Drosophila melanogaster: one gene and its partners. The protein of the gene in region 2 interacts with the protein of the main gene of each other region in a pairwise test. Each region holds a gene or a part of one and is shown on either strand. Other genes may lie near its edges. The genes, in order: drl, CG2246, CG7298 and Tina-1.

Region 1 (4,616 bases), on a different chromosome or scaffold from region 2:
GGCAACATCCATGGGTTACATGGATTAGGGAGGGATCTGCTCAGACAGCTGGCAGGGCTACAAAGTTGGGCAAAGTTAAAAGCCCCATTGAGCCAAGTGTGTGGCGGGGGAAAAGTTTTCCGAATGTTATAGGATGTTATAGGTTCTGGCTATATGAATTTAATTGCTTTCCTTGCCATTAACAGTGGGGTGCCACAAAGCCTGGGAGATCAGTGTCCTAAGATGGAATAATGGTAGTTCCCTTTAGATAACGTGTTACCCTTGACTATCCACACCCAACGCCGACAACTTTGGTCACTCATTGCAACCGCAAAATCCATCAACTGCACCGACTTTACATATCCGCTCATTTCGCTAACGAGCTGGGCCACAGAGCCACCGAACCAAGAAGACCCTCGCCACCGCCGCCCGGCTTGATCCACACCTGACATGGTTTGCATAGCATAGAGCACAGCAATTTGGGGCGCACTTCTGGATGGAGAAGTGGGTGGGCCATGGGATGGAACATGTGTGCTATGGGTATGTGTTCGGGTATGGATGTTAGCCTAACGAACAGTGAATGCCATGCCGCAGCTGCATGCAAGTGCATGGAGCTCTTCTTTGGGCGATTCTCCTTCACTCTGCTCCTGGGTTGACAATTTAATTGATGTGCACTCACACAAAGGCTTTTGAAGCGACCGCTAAAAAAATAAAGTGAAATAAAATAAAATAGAGTGACACCTAGCCAGGCGTTGCGAACACACACACAGTGAAGTCTCGGAAAGTAGGTCAGGCATGCAACCCGCTGTCAGCGCTGAATAATTGGAGAGGGTATCGCCACCCAATCCCGAAAGCCCAAAACCAAAAACCAAAAACCCTCTGGGGAAAGTGCAATTGGAGGAGTCGGGAATCGGGCGAAAAATGAATAGCGGCCACCGCTTAATGGGTTTTAATGCTGATTTCGTTTGACACTCGGCTGACACAACTAATAAATTTTCCGCTGCCATGTCAAGTGGAAAGCCTCAACTGGCCATCCATCCCATAGCAAACCATCCCACCCACTTGCCGTATCGCCTTTGATTGATTGTCTGCTGGCGCTTTCAACTGATTGCGAGGTGTGTAGTGGAGCAGCCAGGACTCGGGGGCCAGAACTGCAATCAAACATGAATTACGACGAGTGGCAGACGCTGATAAGCGGCTAGATAAGCGCCTGATTAGCAGCCCGGCACTGCAGTTCAAATATTTACCCAGTTATTCACAAGTGACGCGATGCAATCTGCGTACCTACATACTCCGCACTCCGCACTCCGAAACTCCTGACGCCCATCAATCAGCCGGAGGCACAAACACGCGAGTGTTGTAAATTTTACAACATAATTTTTGATAATTTTTCCCTATCAGCTATACAGCTCCCTGCGCCCCCGATCCACAGAACACACTGCCTACAAAACAAACACTTTGCATGTGTTTTATGATGCCACATGGATGTGGCACAACTTGGGCCGCTTCACCCTTTCCTTTTGGCCCATGGATTGAGGCTACTGATTTATTTTTTATATTCACTGGGTTGTAAATTCTTTGTCTGGGCCCTGTGACACATTGTAAAACAATTTTCCCCACTTTTATTAGCTTGGCAATCTCTTCGACAGGATTTGTGTGTGTTTCTTTCTGGCGGGGAATGGCTTGGGTCCAAGAAGACGAGGTTGGGGATGGGGATCGGGGCGAGGTATAAATATAAAAGTAGATTAAAGGTACTTGGGCTGCGGACTCGAGCTATCCCAAGCCGATTTGCTTGGCCAAGTGGAAACCTGGTTATTAGATGGAGATAAACAAATCTGTTTTGATAAGGGCTAAGAATCAGTCACTCGGATTTTTAAGCTTATTAGAGTAGTATTCTTCTATGGAAAATAGTTAGGCTAAATAAATAATATAAACTAAACTAAACTAAATATTTAAATACTCATTTTGGTGTCATTTTTTGACTACATGATTTTACTATTTATTTTCTTTTGAAGACGTTTATAAAATATATCTAAAATTGTTTTGTATTGTTTTAAATTGGATAAACTATGAAAAAATATGATTTTTTAAATAAAAACTTTGATTATAGAGGGATTACTTATCTAGAGATGAATCCACTTGCCAATCGAATTTAATTTAACGCAAAGAAATACAAATTTAAATCGCTTTAGCATTTCTATTTATCTAGATAAGTCTAACGAACAATTAAATCAAAGAAACAGGAAATCATGCTAGACAAATAGAATGTTTTCTTGTTTCTCGGTGAGCTGGCCAATTGAAGGAGGGACAATACTACTTTATATGTAGCTCCGAGGCTAGAAACAATTAAAAGGCATATATTATTTACGCAAAAAGAGTAAATAATCCCAGCAAGTCGCATTCGTTTGCCCAGGAGACAAAATCCCGGCTTGGCATAAATCAAATTTGATTTAAAGTCGAACGAACGCACACAAAGTGGCAAATAATTGCCCAGTTAATTGAAAAGCCAAAAGGCAGGCGAAAATCAACACGATTACTTACCGATTAGGCGCAGCACCTCGTGCAAGTTGAGGAAAATATTGAGATGGGCCTGACCGCTGGCGATCAGGGTCAAAAGTAATCCGATTGTTAGCAAGTTGGGGGCCATCTTTCGGATTCGATTAATCCGCCGGTTGTTTAGTCGCAATAAGAGGAAGAGATAGTTTTAACTGCAGTTCGGCTACTCTGCCGATTTTCTATTTCCCGTTTGGCACTCGCTAAAACGATTTAATTTCCGCTGCACTGCTGTTCACTTTTTGCGCTGCATTTGCAATTTTACGAGCGTCGCGTTGATTTCAATCGCGCTGATTATTACAGGAATTATTTGTCAGAGCATTTGGCACTTTGCCTTCTGGCCGGGAAAACTCAGGCGCACATATTTCCCAATCAGTCTCTGTCTCTGCACCCGTTTTTCCTCGCTTTTCTCGCCGTTCGTCCGCGTTCGTTTTCCGCGTTTGATCCGCTCACCGTGACGATTTTCCACAAACTGTCAACTGGATAAACAAACACTTCGCCACGAAGCGAATGGCTTCCACGCCGAGCGGAGTGGAGTGTGGACTGTGGACTGTGTGTGGCGCTCGTGGACTTGTTCTGTAGAACTTGAAGGCTGGAACCCGTATAACAGTCGTGTTGGAACCTCGAACTCGGTTGCAGTTCGAACATCTCATCGAACATCTCCAATTGGCTAAATACCAAAACTGGCATACTGTTCGATATCCTTTATTAAATTAACTAAACAAACATTCATATAAAGTTTAAAAAATAGACCCACAAACTTCCCAAATGAATTCGAATTAATGATGTAATATAATGATTTTAACCTTTTAACTTTTTTTTATTGTGTTTGATTCAATTTCGAATTAAACTCATGTTGCCAAAAATAAACATTACGACATTTTATACTTTATAAATCGTTAGTTTATTACAGAAAGAGAGACAGAAGCTTGCAGAAGCATAAAATAAATAAGTACAGAATATATAAATACGTACATGATTTTAGGTACATCAATTAACAACATAAATAATTTATAATTACAGACTTGGAATGTGTATCAGTCGTTACACAAATAATAGGAACAGAAAATTAATACTAAAAGCACACAGAAGAACCCTAACAAAAATCAAAGCTGCACGAGAAGAATCTTAACTAATACATTTGACAAATCAAATCTTTGGAATATTTGCAAACTGGCCTTGGCTAAGTACTTGATAATTTGACACAATACTTCATTAGTTACTCTTAACATTAAATTCAAGCCTCCAGTTTCAGCTGATCGATGGAGCTTAGAGTAGTTTCAATAAGCAGATTGTAGTCCAATTCGTTTAGACTGGCCTTCGCAGTCAGCAGGTCCAGAAAGGAGTCCAGTGGCGAAAGGGCTTCGGCAGTTAGATCTGCAAGAATACCAACCAAATTGGTCATTAGAGAGGTGGCTATGGTTAAGTTAGATAACAAGAAACAAAATGTGCAAATGGGACAACGACTGGCGAACACTGAACAGCGTTTCTTACCGGTCAGCGATGGGAATGTTTTCTACCAGATGAGAGGGCGCTGCCTGAACGCATAGCTCGATATGCTCAGGACGACCGTGGTTAGAATGAAAAGCAGAAAAACCAAAAGCAGCGAGTGACAAACAACAGTGTTGGGCTTGCCCAAAGCTGGACGAGATGTGTTCGGGTGAAGAGTGTACAAATGAAAAGTTAACGTGTTTATGGCGGGCTAACCAAGCAAGATCTTACCGCTCCGCGCATTATTTCGCGATTGATTCACGCAGGCCGTGGGTCGCTGCTGGTGCAACACCTCCTGCTGCTGACCCGACAGAATGTTGGCCGCATGCTCGCGTCCGCGGATCATAAGGCTGTCCGGATGCTGCCAGCATTTGAGTAACCTTTGAGCACGCTGCTTGGGCAGAGCAGACAAAAGTGATAGCTTCCGCTCAATGCCCAGTGGAGAATCTTCAATATCTGAAGGAATACATTAAGCAATAATGAAATGAACAGTATATGAAAACAAGTATATATATTTGTTACAAACCGAAAACAATGGCCTTCATCACATCCACTTGCAGTTCGAACACATGATTTTCCACATACTGCAGAAA
Region 2 (4,834 bases):
GTTGCAGGTCCTCAAACTTAATGGGTGCGTAGGCAAGGAACGAATGGACCCAGTCATTAAGCTCGCACGTCAGACGACCCTGATGTCGCGGAACTTCGCCTCGACAATATTTTTCCAGAACGGTCGGTTTTGGCTGAAGATCCAGTATGGGTTCCATGGGATCCCTTAGGCTGAATAGCTCCATCTGTCCAGCTTCCTTCATGAGATGCACGTTTTGGGAATTCAATCGAAGTGCTGATTCGTAGGCATCATATGCGCACTGTCGATCTACCAGATAAATTGGTGTTAATACCCATTAGTTTGTCCGGGAGTATGCGAACCGCACTCAGTTTAAGTAGGGTCCTGCCCAGATCTCGATAGACCTGCCAGCGTGGTGCGCCCAGTGGATTGAACAAATCTCTGTGCCTCGAGAGGGTGTAGTTATGGGCAGCCACTTGTAGCCACTTGGCTGCACCCAGATAGTCCTGCTCCTCGTAGAGCTCCAGTCCCAAGTGATAGCAGTCCAAAGGTGAAAGATGCAAGGAACTAGTGGAATTAAGTTTCCAAAATGGTAAACACTTATATAGACTCCCACCTGCTTCGTTCATCTTTGGCAACCAGATCCGCGGGCTCGTAGCCGTAAAACTGGGTCAAGCTATGCACACTCCTGGCCGCTTTCCTGAAGGCTTCCTTCTGAGGAAGCTGCGGCAGTAGGCTCTCCACCTTCTGCACCGCCTCGGGTGCGACCAGATCCTCCATGTACACCTGCCAGCCGACCCAATCCTGGTGCATATGTCTAATCAATCGGAAGGAGTTCAGCGGATTGGAGAGGTACTTCTCCGGATCCTCGTTGGCATCTTCTATGTCGACGTTATAATCTTCCACATAACTATATTAAAAATATTTTCATCTCAATTGGTACGATTGGGAAAGGATTTCTGACGCACTTGTTTATAAGGTCGATCTTCTCCTCCAGCTTTTCGGCATAGTCACGCATATTCTGCAGGAGATTGCGCTCTAGATTCAGCATTTCCCGCACTTGTTTCTCACTTAGAGCCTTAAAACTGTAACAGCCAAGGATCAAAAGCAGAATCGCAAGCCAAAATGACACAGCCATGATTGGTTGGGTATTGGAGAAAACTAAATTTTAAGGATGAAGAACACCAAGTCCGAAATGTAATGCATTCGACTCAGCTAAATATCTGTGACTAAATAATTCGGCAAGGAAAATCCATAAATTGGATTCAAGAAACATAATACAATTCAAACCACTAATTTTTGGACCTTTTTACAAGCTTATACCGAAAACAAAACAGTAAGACAATTTTTGACACAGTGTACTTAGCAAATGCACCCACCCATCCAGAATTGGAGTAAGCGGAGTTTTCCACCCAACTAGTGCTGCCAGAAGGATGGCTACTATCGGCAAAGTAGCAGACTCCACACATCTCTGATTTCTAGGAAGTAAACAAAACATCTGATATTGTTTTTGTTTATCTGTTGTAACATTTTAGTAGTATTTGAGTTTTACATCAGCTCTACTATTTGTTTTCAGCACGATGACGTCGTCGTTGTGTCTATTCTGCATGACTCGTTTCGAAAATAAAAGCCTCAGAAACATTTTTGAAGTAGCCCTTGAACAGGGACTTTCAAAACGCAATGAAAAAACAGCTTCTGAATGTATGCATAGTATGCATGTAAATTATTATAATCTAGACGCATATTGAATAAAATGAGTACTTACTATCGAAATGATGTCATCACTAATCTCAGTCGATTATCGATATACGAAATCATCGATTCATCAGCTGTTCGAATAATTGCGAGGATTTTGTGGCAGTTTTGTCTGAGTTTTCGGAAAAGTGCGAATTAAGTGAAGCAGTGTCGTGAAGAAAAGAGTAATTATTGATAAACGTTTATTAATAGCTAATATAATCGGCGAATGTGTGATAGTGTCTCTGTATTAATTACTACTTTCTTCGGCCTGTTAACACTGCTAAAAACAGGATATAGATCTAGGCAAGAAAGAAGAGAAAACTTGAATATAAATCCATAAGCGTCGAGATAAAACAGCTAATTCTTCGAAAAGTCAACATGCTGCTGCAGCGGAACAAGTAAAACTTTTTAGCGGCTAATTTCTAGCTTTTTTCTATGATTTCTGTGTGTTTCATGTATAATTTAATTAGTGTCCCGCTGTTTGCGTGTGTTCCTCCCACCCTTCATCACATTTTCCCTGTTCTAATACGTTTTCCCTGTTCTAATACGTTTTCCCTGTTCTATTCCAGTGCCCGCGAAGATTATAGCCAGGTTTTCAATTACAGCTTTTGTTTGTCTAACCAAATTTTATCAATTGCGTGCTGGTGCTAACAAGAGCAAAACCCCACCTCCTTTTGCTTTTTACTTCTTTTGTACTGGAATTTGTGTTTGCATTTTATTTTTAGCCCGCTTTCGATGTTGTTATTGCCGTTCTCATTTTGTTACTTCATCGCCGTTTGCCTCTCCGTCTTTGTTTTGCTCTCCTCTTTCCGTGACAACGCTCTCTCTTGTGTACACTGAACAAAATGCATTGGTTTGGTTTGAATTATAATGATATTAAGTCTTTTTTAATTACTGGCATTATGAATATACATGAAAACTATATATTTCAATAAGAATATTTAATTGCGTGCGAGTCAGATCGGTCGATTAATGTTCCTTATTGATTTCCTCTCTCAAAAAGCTAAGAGAGTGAGATAAACTCTCATTGGGGGCTTTGTTGTGATCCACATGTTCCATTGACCACTTTTTAACGGACCCACTTGAACACAATGATACGCAAGAAGATTAAACCATTAAAAAGATAAATAAGTAACTTAATTGACCCACATATGCTTAAAAACCTTAAATATGGTTGTAACTTGTACAGTTCCTTGCTGGATTCCACTCAAAGCGGCAACAGCTGTTTGCCACCACCATTACCTCACTCCAGCGATCTGGCAACGCCGCGCAGCCCTCGCTTTTGCGCTCCACTGTGTCCACAGTCATTCGCTTTTATTTATACGAAAAATAAGTGTAAGAAAGCAACGTCTGGCTGCCTATTTTTTTTATTGATTTCATTCCTATTCCGGATCCGATTCCGTGTTAATTGAAAACGTTAATCAGTCGCCCGCTAGTTGTGCTCTTATCAACACTTTTCGCGCGTGTTTTCCTGCGTGAGTGAGAGTAGTCTGTACATATATTGCATTTTCATATCCCTAGGAGGTTATAGCAATATCGCGTTTGATAAAAGATAAGATAAAAGTGGCAGCTAATCCATCTAATTACTGATGAGCGATTGTCTAGGACCATTTTACTCACACTCACGTGCGCAGCGAGTGAAATTGATGCCCACTCAGTTACTTCTGTTCTTTGTTCGCCGTGAGTTACTGTAAATAACCGCATCTAAATGGTGTGATAAAAGCTCACATGTCGCCAATTGAGTGAAATGTGTTTTATTTTGTACTTTCTGGTTGCGAGCCAAATTAAGAGCACATAACAACAACAATACATGCTGGGGAGATAAGCCAACCCACTCGAAATGCCACTCAATTGCGCGACTTGTTGCCCTTCGGTTTTCCGAGTGAAAAGTGGTCGCATAACTGTTTGTTTAGAAGAAGGACAAAAGAGAAGGAGATTTACAATCCCAATACTACTGATATGAAGCTAATTCGTTATATTTATGGAAATTCTAGTGCCTACCCCCAGCTAACATAAATCTATTGATTAGATTTGGTAATAATTACTTGATTGTATCAGAAACAATCTAATTACTTGTTTCATCGTACAATGTCTATACAATCAATTTGGTGTTATTAAAATATAGACTACAATAAAAAGTAAAGGTTCAATACTTTTGAATTAATAGTTTCAACCTTTTATTTAGAAAAACAAGCAAGAAGCGTAGAAAAGACTTGATCTTGGTTATACCTAAAAAAAACTCGTCACTCTCTTCGAATCCCTAACGTCCGGGGTCATCATGTTCCACATCACATCACTGATCCTATCTCCTGTCTGCGGCATCGAAGCTATTGGACTTCAGCTTAAGGCTTCCCCTGGTCAGTTGATTCAAGTCGATGATGGACAGATAAGGCTTGGGGGGCACATTCACGGGCAGGGGAACTTCGATGGTGACCGCTGCTGATCGCTTGCCCTTGGAGCCACCAACTCCTCCGCCGTGGTCGCTGCCCGTTTTCAGGGCACCCAGTGCGAAGGGGGAGTACTGATCGTGACCTGGGTGCGCGGAGCAACTTGCTGTGGCGGCCCTCCGGTAGTTGCGGTACCCGCTAAAGCAACTGCTTCCAGGAGCCAAGGGACGGGCGGGCGAAAATCCTCCCTCGTCCGAGGATCCGCCTCCTCCACCCGAATCGTAGCATATACTTAGGTTTGTGTAGGCAATGGGGGCGTGGCATCGGGGCGTCTTGGGACGGGGCTTCACCTCGTAGCGGGTTTTCGACCGGGATCGGGAGTGGTGGGCATGGCGGTTTCGCCCCCGCCTTTTGCTCCTGACCTCTGTCACAATCGGCATGGGCAGGATGTTAATGAAGCGATAGTACTGAAGCAAAGTCCTGGCCAGATTCCTGCCCACGCGGTAATCTGGAGGAAGATACCAGCTCATTAGGAACCCTATCAGCTTAGTTTGCAGGCATATACTCACAGCCATCTTCGTTGTACAGGGAGATGGTCTTGCCATCCTTGAGGTAGTGACCGGCCATGGAGACCTCCAATGTGTAGGCATTCACCGTGTCACTGAGTCTCTCGCAGCTGAATCTCCGCATGCTGCCAGCCTTCCGTTCGTCCGCATTGAACATCGTGTGATCCGCCACGTAGTCCTGTGCGT
Region 3 (3,981 bases), on a different chromosome or scaffold from region 2:
CTGTGTGTACAAGAACAACTATCCATGCAGCGAGTCCGCCGGTGATGGCTCCACTGTGTCGGTCGCCCTCAACCTATGCAATCTTGTCAAGAATGGCTTTTACTTTGGAAGCCCTTCCGACTGCAGTGGCTGGAACTTCTGCCAGGACAACGTTCTGCACTCGGGATCCTGCGAAGATGGTCTAGTATTCAATGTGCAGGCCAGCAACTGCGGCTACAAGATGGCCTCATCCTGCGCCCAGGTCACCAATGATCCATCCCTGACCGGAGTGTCTGCTCCGACCACATGCTCCTCGTCGGGAGCAACGATCGCAGCCACCGCGTGCAACCAGTACTACCTGTGCTCCGCCGGCAACTATCAGCTGATGACCTGCCCCTCGGGATACTACTATGATACCATCTCGAAGGCGTGTGTGACCAGGATGGAAGCGAGGAACGACTGCGACAGATGTGTGGGCACCACTGCGACCTTTGTAAACGCCTACTCGGCAACCAATTGCTCTGATTACCTATACTGCGTGAACGGCGTTCAGAAGGCCGTGGAGAGCTGCCCCACCAACTACTACTTCAACGAGAACCTCGGATCCTGCGTAAACGGGTTGGAGCCCAAGTTCCTCTGCTGCAATCCCACGCAAAGCGATGGAACTTCGACGTCTTCCTCTGGTTCGACTTCCTCGGGCTCGACTTCCTCCGGATCGACTTCCTCTGGGTCAACTTCCTCCGGCTCGACTTCCTCTGGCTCGACTTCCTCGGGCTCGACTTCCTCTGGCTCGACTTCCTCGGGCTCGACTTCCTCCGGCTCGACTTCCTCTGGAACTTCATCCACAACCTCTACTGGAACAAGTTCAGACAAAAAATAATTTAAATAGCATTTATGCCAAAAATAATAAATACAAATCAAGTTTGGCAACTCAATTAAAAGTATCCACCCAAGTTATTCGCACAGTAATAGGGTATATGAAGTAAAGTGTTCTAAAAAGGATATATATTCTTAATTCGGATAGGAAATCGGCAAATAAAAGAGCTAAAATGCCCAAAAAACTGTCACCAAATGCGACAAGAATAAAGGAAAATTTCCATCGACGTACAGAAGATCCAAGGAAATACCATCAACACTTTATTGACCCCATATGGCAGGGCAATAAAGCCGAAATTAAAGATTGCCTGAGCGAAAAGTTTTTCATCGCCAAACAAGTTTTACTGGGCAGCGTCAACGCCATACAAAAGCGATAAGAGTCCATTCAATTTAAGGTGTAGCTGTTAAAGTTACATAATATACATACATTATACATATAACAAATTTAAACCATTTGCTAGAAAAAGTTCTTATTTAAATGAATAGCATTAATTAGGGTAAAATATTATATTATTTTTAAGAAAGGGTCGTTTTCTATTGCACAACATTATCCCGATTAAAAGACCTTGATTTGATTAATCTTACAACACTATCGAATGAAAACCCCACTTTTCAGTTATTGTACAACACTAGGCTTAACTACACGATGTTTTACTTTCCAAGGTAGACCTACACCATTGATAAGGATGTGGCTGCGTCAGTTGTTTGTTTTTTTTTTTTTTTTTTATTATTAAGTTGCGGAACAGATAGAAATAATGACAGATAAAGAGCTACTTAGTGGTTAATACAACTATACTTTAATTAAAATCGGTTAAATAACACCCCGAAAAGATGTTCAGCGTCTATCTGGTGGAATAAATAAAAAATGGAACAATGTTTCACTGTCTATAATTCCTGAGAATAGCTGGGCTTATCTACATTCAATTTACGATCTCGATGGCCAAGTTCGAATCGTAGACCTATAAAAACCAGGCAATGGGAAAACTCCACCATCAGTCTTCGACAACCTTTCATTGGCCGATACAAGTGGTATTCGATCCCCAACAGCGGCAAAAAGTATTACCAACTAACGATGACAGGCAAGTGTTTCGCATGGGATATGATCTGTGGTCTATGGTCGAATAAACACCAGGAGTTTCGCTAATTGATTTGCGTGATTTCTGGCTTGCAGGCAAACTTCTACTGGCCACGATCCTGTGCCTAATGGGCGGCCAAGCCTTGGGCGATGCGATTCTGGAAGGAAACTACAACGTTACGGCCGTCTGCACGGCGGTTAAGGTCGGAACGCAGCTGGGCAGCATCGAATCCTGCCAGACGTACTACGTCTGCCAGTCCACCGGACCCGTGCAGTCCTCGTGCCAATCAGGCTACTCGTACGACTACAAGAGATCCTCCTGCTATCCAAGCAGCGAGGTGGACTGCTATTGGGGCGTTGAGAATCCCTGTGCTGGCAAGAATAACACCTGGGTGCCAAACACTGCCGTTTGTGGTGGATGGTTCTACTGCCTTGAGGGCAAGTCGGCGGGCTCCGGAAACTGCCCGGTGAACCAGAAATTCGATACCACCACACTCGCCTGCGTTTATGGAACCTGCTCCAACACTCAAGGTACTAATGAAACCGTGCTAGAATCACTATGCGATGTCGTGCCACCTGGCCAATATTTCGGCGATACTGAGAGCTGCTCCACCTGGCACTACTGCGAGTCCACCTCCACCGGACTCGTTTTGCAGTCGGGTAAATGCTCTGCAAACAATCAAACTGTGAGTTACCAATTGCAAACCTACTAAATCCCTGCCTAGATCCCAAAAGACATGACAAGTCCGTTAACCAAATCTTTACAATTTCTTACATCCTTGATATGAAATCCAATCATATGGAAAGTTAACGAACTTTCATAGGCACCTCGATCATACTGGACAATTACCTGCATCCTTTAGTGAATGTGATTTACTTCTTTCCGCAGGCATACAACGTGCTCGCCAATCAATGTACCTACGAAAGTGCCTCCGTCTGCAGCCGTGTGACCAACATTCCGCTGAGCGATGCCGCAGTTTCCTGCTCCACGAACGGTGCCAAGTCAGCCGATCCCAAGGTGTGTGGCACCTATTATGTGTGCACGAACGGCAAAAATGTGGCCACCTACTGCCCCACTGGCGACTACTACGACGACAGTTTAGGGTACTGTGTGTCCCGCCAGGTCGCCACTCCGGTGGCGGGATGCAATCGATGCCAGTATGCTACGTCGACGTTTGTAAACGCCGTCGATTCGAATAACTGCTCCACCTACTACTATTGCAACAGCCAGGGCGAGGCCACTTTGAACACCTGCCCGGCCGATACATTCTTCGATGAGTCACGTCAGGGATGCAAGTCCGACGACGACCTGTCCACATATGTGCCATTGAACGGAGCCTGCAAAGGAGCCACCGCCGAAGGATCAGAAGAAACCGATAATAGTACGACCGATGCCGAATAAGCCCAATTATCGTGAAGGGCTTTCAGGTTGGAACTCAACGGAACAGGAGTAACTGACAACGCGACCCTATGTATTTACCACTTAGTATTCAGTATCTAATAAATGCAATAAAAGCTATGTTCGCAAGCAAATCGTGGTGATTTTCCTTACCCAACAAGATGTGAGAAATTCAAAAGGAGATACCTTTTGCAGCATCTGAATATTCTATTCTTCATGATAAGTTCGAGGTTTTTCTGGGCTCAAACCAATGCTTCCTAGGAAATCATCTAAAATTATTGAAATAACAGCTGATCTGGCTGTAGAAAGTGTATTACTTCATGTACATCGTTCGAAACTGGTTGATTAGGATATATTTAGATGACTGGTATTTTTAGAAGTGAGCATATCGCGCGCATCACTTCACTGAATGATATCTAAAAACTCAAACATTGCGATCTGCGCAGAATGCAAACACAAGTTTTCGATTAGCTCTTACAAATGGGTGTGGCCCATTTGAACGACCTTATAAAAGGGTCGGTCGTGAATCGGCCGAACCATTAACATAGGTAGTTTGGAGTCGCAAAGAACCGTTATCAGAAGTAAAGGGCACTATTAACTACAATGCAATGCTCCTGGGCATATGTCCTGGCATTGAGCATCTGCTTCCAGT
Region 4 (4,147 bases), on a different chromosome or scaffold from region 2:
GTTCCATTAATATGGTTTGTTGCTCGCGATCATAGTAGTCCGGGTAGTCTTCTAGTATGTCCAGTTTGGAGAGCATGGTCTCGTCCACTTCGTAGACTTCGCCTTCTATGTGGTTCCCCTCACCCGGGCGGGCGAGCAGAAATGGGATGTTGTAGCGGGTTCCGACAACCAGGGGAAACTTCGTTTCCGTTTTCCCCCTTCCAAGGAATCGGGCTTGGCCGTTCTCCTTTTTCGTCAGCCAGTGGTGATTGGGCTCACCGCGCTTCAACGTGCCATACACAAAGACCCTTGCCGCCATTCTCAGCTTTTCAGCCATTGCGCTTCCCGCCGCCAGGCTTATCAGTTTCAAGCGGTATCGTGCTATCAAATCCGACCTGTAGATTGCGCAGTCGACATAACCCGTCCGCTCTTCTTCTTGCTGCCATTCGCACCGAATCTAGCCTCCGTACACCGCGAGAAACTGAAGCCCTCGGCACTGGGCTGTGGAAAATTACCAGGGACTGCTGTCCAGCATCTTTACTTCTATAATAGAACGAGGGGCATTTTATTTTATTTTAAATTGCTTCAGTTTATTTGCTTTGTTTGTCGAAAACTATCAAATTACAGACTACGTTTGCTAAAACCTAAATAATGCGTATGGTACATATGTATCAGTTTATATCGTTTGCCCATATATACGGGTATATATCGATCAGTACATCTGCGTCTGCAAGTACGGTCTTAAAATGCAACTACGGTAACATAAGATTAGTGGCCAGGCTATCCAGAGAACATCCAAACAAACGGGCGACACCACAACCCACGTTATTAGTTCTGGGCCTCGTAGGTGAGGTCGTCCTGGGCCGGATGCTTGTGGGTGCGGCGATGGCGCATAATGTATGGATGGGTGGTTGAGTTCTCGTAGCTGGACAAGTAGCGCAGACTAAGTAGGTTCTCCGGGTACTTCTGCAGCAGGTACACCCAGCATGGAACGGTTCTGGAAAGGAAATTGTGACCCATCACACCACATTGCTGAAATGACGTCAGATCCGACTAATGCTCACCCTTCTCCAACGCCAATGTTCATATCGTGCATCTCGCGAGTGTAGATCTCCTCGCAATCCTCCAGGTTGTCCAGGGAATTCAGCATTCGATCGTCCACCTCGTAGATCTCCCCTGTTACGTAATATCCCACTCCGGGCTTGTTCAGCAGGAAGGGAATGTTGTAGCGGGTGGCGATCACTAGCGGCAGCTTTTGGGTGGTGGTCGCCTTGCACCAGAACTTAGCGAAGCCGTTGCCAGAGCTGGCCAGGATTGAGTTGCTGGGCTGTCCGTACTTGAGGGCGCCGTACACGAAGAGCTTGCTCAAGGCGGAGGAGACTTTCTGTGGAGTGCGTGAGAGGTGGGTGTGGCGTAAAGACAGATAAGTAGGGTTAGGTTAGAGATCTGATAAACTGGTGGTATCTTGTGAGAGTTTGCTCTACTGGTATCAATCGATCGCCGTGGCTTATCAGGGATCAGGGATCCGAACACTTTCCACTGGCTAGCCCCCGCAAGTTATTGATAAGGTTCACGAAACGTCTCGGTGTTTGGCGAGATTCTCAGCTGAACCGCTTTTTGGGCGAGAATGGGATGGCTCAACCGGTTTCGTGCATTCACACGTTTATTCTTAAAGTCTGTTATTGTTGCTAATATATGTACGTAGCTGTTTCGTATTTTTGGGGCTGAGTGCGTGCCTCACAAACTGCGCAGCAGTTACGCCTCCACAGGTACATATGTATGGAGACACTCGCTATCTGTACACATGTAATTGGCACATTAATAATTGCTTAAATCGGTTTAATCATTGCAGTAAATGGATAACACACGCAAGCGGCCTTAAATCAATGTCATCAAACGGTTGCATCAAAGCATCTTGGCGAATCCGCTTACATAACCCAGAACAGGCATCAGCTCACACTCATACATATGTAGATATCTTAAAAATTCCAATAAACTATCTGATAACCCTCCGATGGATCGGATAACTTAAAATGCCTTAAATTTAGTTCCCAAGCTCTCAGGCTTTTACACGCTTTCCATTTGGGGCTGCCCACTTGCCAAGGACGAAGGATAAGGGATGCGTATACACAAGCTAAAAGTGTGCATGTGTGCGTGGGCTTCACATTGTGCTGCACTCTTAATCAGCTTACCTTTGCTTGGCCCATTTTCTTGTCGAACCGCCTGCAGATAATTAAAATTGCAAATTGCTGCACTAAGCAAAGGCGAGAGAGCTCTTCGGGATTGGATAGGATAGTGTGCACGAGCTCCAGCAGAGATACAACCGCGCCGATGGCCAGCAAAACTCCAACTAAATCGTGATGGAGAACAACGTCGGCGGACACGGTGCTGCCGCCTGCCACTGTTGTTGTTGTTATTGCTTCTGGCACAGTGGAGCAAAGTCACAACGTGTTATTGGTTCAACTTATATAAATATATTGCATATGAAAGTATTAGTCGACACTACGTGGAAAAGCAATTCTTAAATAATAATTATGGTATATATCCAATTTCATCAAAATTGGAAAAAGGAAGAAAATATTATTTGCCCTGTTTACTGACTCTGCCCAGTGTGCCTTGTCGTCAAGACCAAGAGGCCCGCCTCTAGTGGAACAACAACAAGTAAAACAATAACACGCCACACGCGCAAAGCTAAAAATGACGGTTCTGCCGACTGGTCTTTATCTAAGAAATATCCTCTGGGGGGGGGTGTGGGTTAGTTGAAATACCCGAAATATTATAGGCCCCGCAAGCACAAACACTCTAAAATTCGGGCATTATCAATGGCCTAATAACATCTGAGCACAGAAGTCCCTCTTGAGATCCACGCTCCCTCTATGATACCCCCCCCTAGCAGCATTTTAGTTCGCTGGCGACGCCTCTGGAGAACACGTACGCATGTCTTCTTCAGTTTCTCTGCTGATCGGTGGGGATCGGAAATCGTATACTGTATATTGTAATATTCTGCACTTCCATGTGTCCGATTTGTTATAAACAATAACAAAGTCTCTTTGTAATTGATTGGTTGATAGGTGGGGGAGGGGGTGCGGCAACAACAACACCAAAACCAAACCAGTTGACATGCGCTCTTTAAAATCAAAATCTCACTGCGCTCTCTGAATTGTGCCCTGCGAAAGGTAAGGCATTTTAGTTTTCGGACTCAATACGAACTATCAAGCGTAACTACATATTGTATATTGTTGCCCATTCATTATGAAAGGGTAAGCACTCAATAAAGTTAGTGCTTCTCATATTTCCTCAGGTTAGATAAATCGATATAATACATATGCATAATGCGTTTTTGAAGTTGGTATTTTAATATGGACAAATTATAGGTTACTTTATGAGGCGATTAAAGCTGTTTTTATATTTTATGTTATTCCTTACAGTTTCTAAAGACAAGATTGCCTTTCCATAAAAATTTTAAATCAATAAAAAGAGTAACATAGTCTTGTAGCTTAATTCATAAATAATCATGAACCTAAACAATAAATACATATATTAAAATCCATACGACATCAGCGGGACCTAAAACAGCCCCATTGCTGTCAAACCTCCTCTCTAGGTCAATAGTTCCCGGAGCAGATGCCGTTGTGAGCATAATGGTGCTGTTTGTGCCGGCAGGCACACAAGTTAGGAGCGAAGCAGTAAGCTCGTGGTCCGCAGTTGCTGGAGGTACAGTTTAGGGCAAGTGTGGCGAAAAGATATAGCGACAATCAAACTTACTGATCACAGATTGGCATGCATTGCTGTCCATGAAGCAGGCTGTCCCTTAGCTCGTATCCCTGGGCACAGATGCACCGTCCGTCGGAGGAGCAGTTGCCATGTGTGCAGCGCCTGGAAATGAGAAAGGGCACATAAACGCATACGTATGTATGTACACTTCCTAAGCGATAAGGTGAGGAGCAAGAATCATACTCACCCAAGGCAGGGGTCCAGCAGACGGGGAGCCCTGTGGCGGCACTTTTGGGAGAGGGGATCAAAGTAGTAGTGCCTGTCCTCACGGCACACACAGAGATCTGGTGCGGCGCAGTAGCCACCTGCCGCCACGCACCCGGGGAGGCACTCTGCGGCACACACCAAACCATCCGGATTACCCGCCATATACTGATCGGCACAGGGACAGGAT

What was found.
Region 1: the proteins of CG2246 (region 2) and drl interact in a two-hybrid assay, tested with the Drosophila melanogaster proteins (one large-scale study listed by BioGRID).
Region 3: the proteins of CG2246 (region 2) and CG7298 interact in a two-hybrid assay, tested with the Drosophila melanogaster proteins (one large-scale study listed by BioGRID).
Region 4: the proteins of CG2246 (region 2) and Tina-1 interact in a two-hybrid assay, tested with the Drosophila melanogaster proteins (one large-scale study listed by BioGRID).

What each region holds. Positions count from the first base shown.
Region 1 is NT_033779.5:19,188,739-19,193,354, reverse strand, and holds the start of drl (derailed), read right to left. Parts: upstream 3,014-4,616; 5' UTR 2,627-3,013; coding exon 2,521-2,626; intron 1-2,520. Other genes in the region: pigeon, read right to left, coding at 3,770-3,909, 4,255-4,479, 4,550-4,616. UniProt on the Drosophila melanogaster protein: Probable coreceptor of Wnt proteins. Involved in neuronal pathway recognition and ventral muscle attachment site selection. Non-vital for development. May be part of a signal transduction cascade involved in learning and possibly memory.
Region 2 is NT_033777.3:30,598,460-30,603,293, reverse strand, and holds the start of CG2246 (uncharacterized protein), read left to right. Parts: upstream 1-1,804; 5' UTR 1,805-2,073; coding exon 2,074-2,093; intron 2,094-2,970; exon of another isoform or gene 2,971-3,375; intron 3,376-3,997; coding exon of another isoform or gene 3,998-4,590; intron 4,591-4,651; coding exon of another isoform or gene 4,652-4,834. Other genes in the region: CG31021 (uncharacterized protein), read right to left, coding at 1-267, 326-525, 575-868, 927-1,009; CG31019 (uncharacterized protein), read right to left, coding at 3,998-4,590, 4,652-4,834.
Region 3 is NT_037436.4:20,201,549-20,205,529, reverse strand, and holds CG7298 (uncharacterized protein), read left to right. Parts: upstream 1-1,842; 5' UTR 1,843-1,927; coding exon 1,928-1,934; intron 1,935-2,026; coding exon 2,027-2,616; intron 2,617-2,819; coding exon 2,820-3,332; 3' UTR 3,333-3,460; downstream 3,461-3,981. Other genes in the region: CG7290 (uncharacterized protein), read left to right, coding at 1-859; obst-F (obstructor-F), read left to right, coding at 3,933-3,981.
Region 4 is NT_033778.4:24,940,079-24,944,225, forward strand, and holds Tina-1 (troponin C-akin-1), read right to left. Parts: upstream 2,336-4,147; 5' UTR 2,187-2,335; coding exon 2,172-2,186; intron 2,043-2,171; exon of another isoform or gene 1,364-2,042; coding exon 1,044-1,363; intron 977-1,043; coding exon 808-976; 3' UTR 547-807; downstream 1-546. Other genes in the region: CG2811 (uncharacterized protein), read right to left, coding at 1-316; CG15861 (uncharacterized protein), read right to left, coding at 3,585-3,687, 3,745-3,855, 3,941-4,147. UniProt on the Drosophila melanogaster protein: Putative gamma-glutamylcyclotransferase.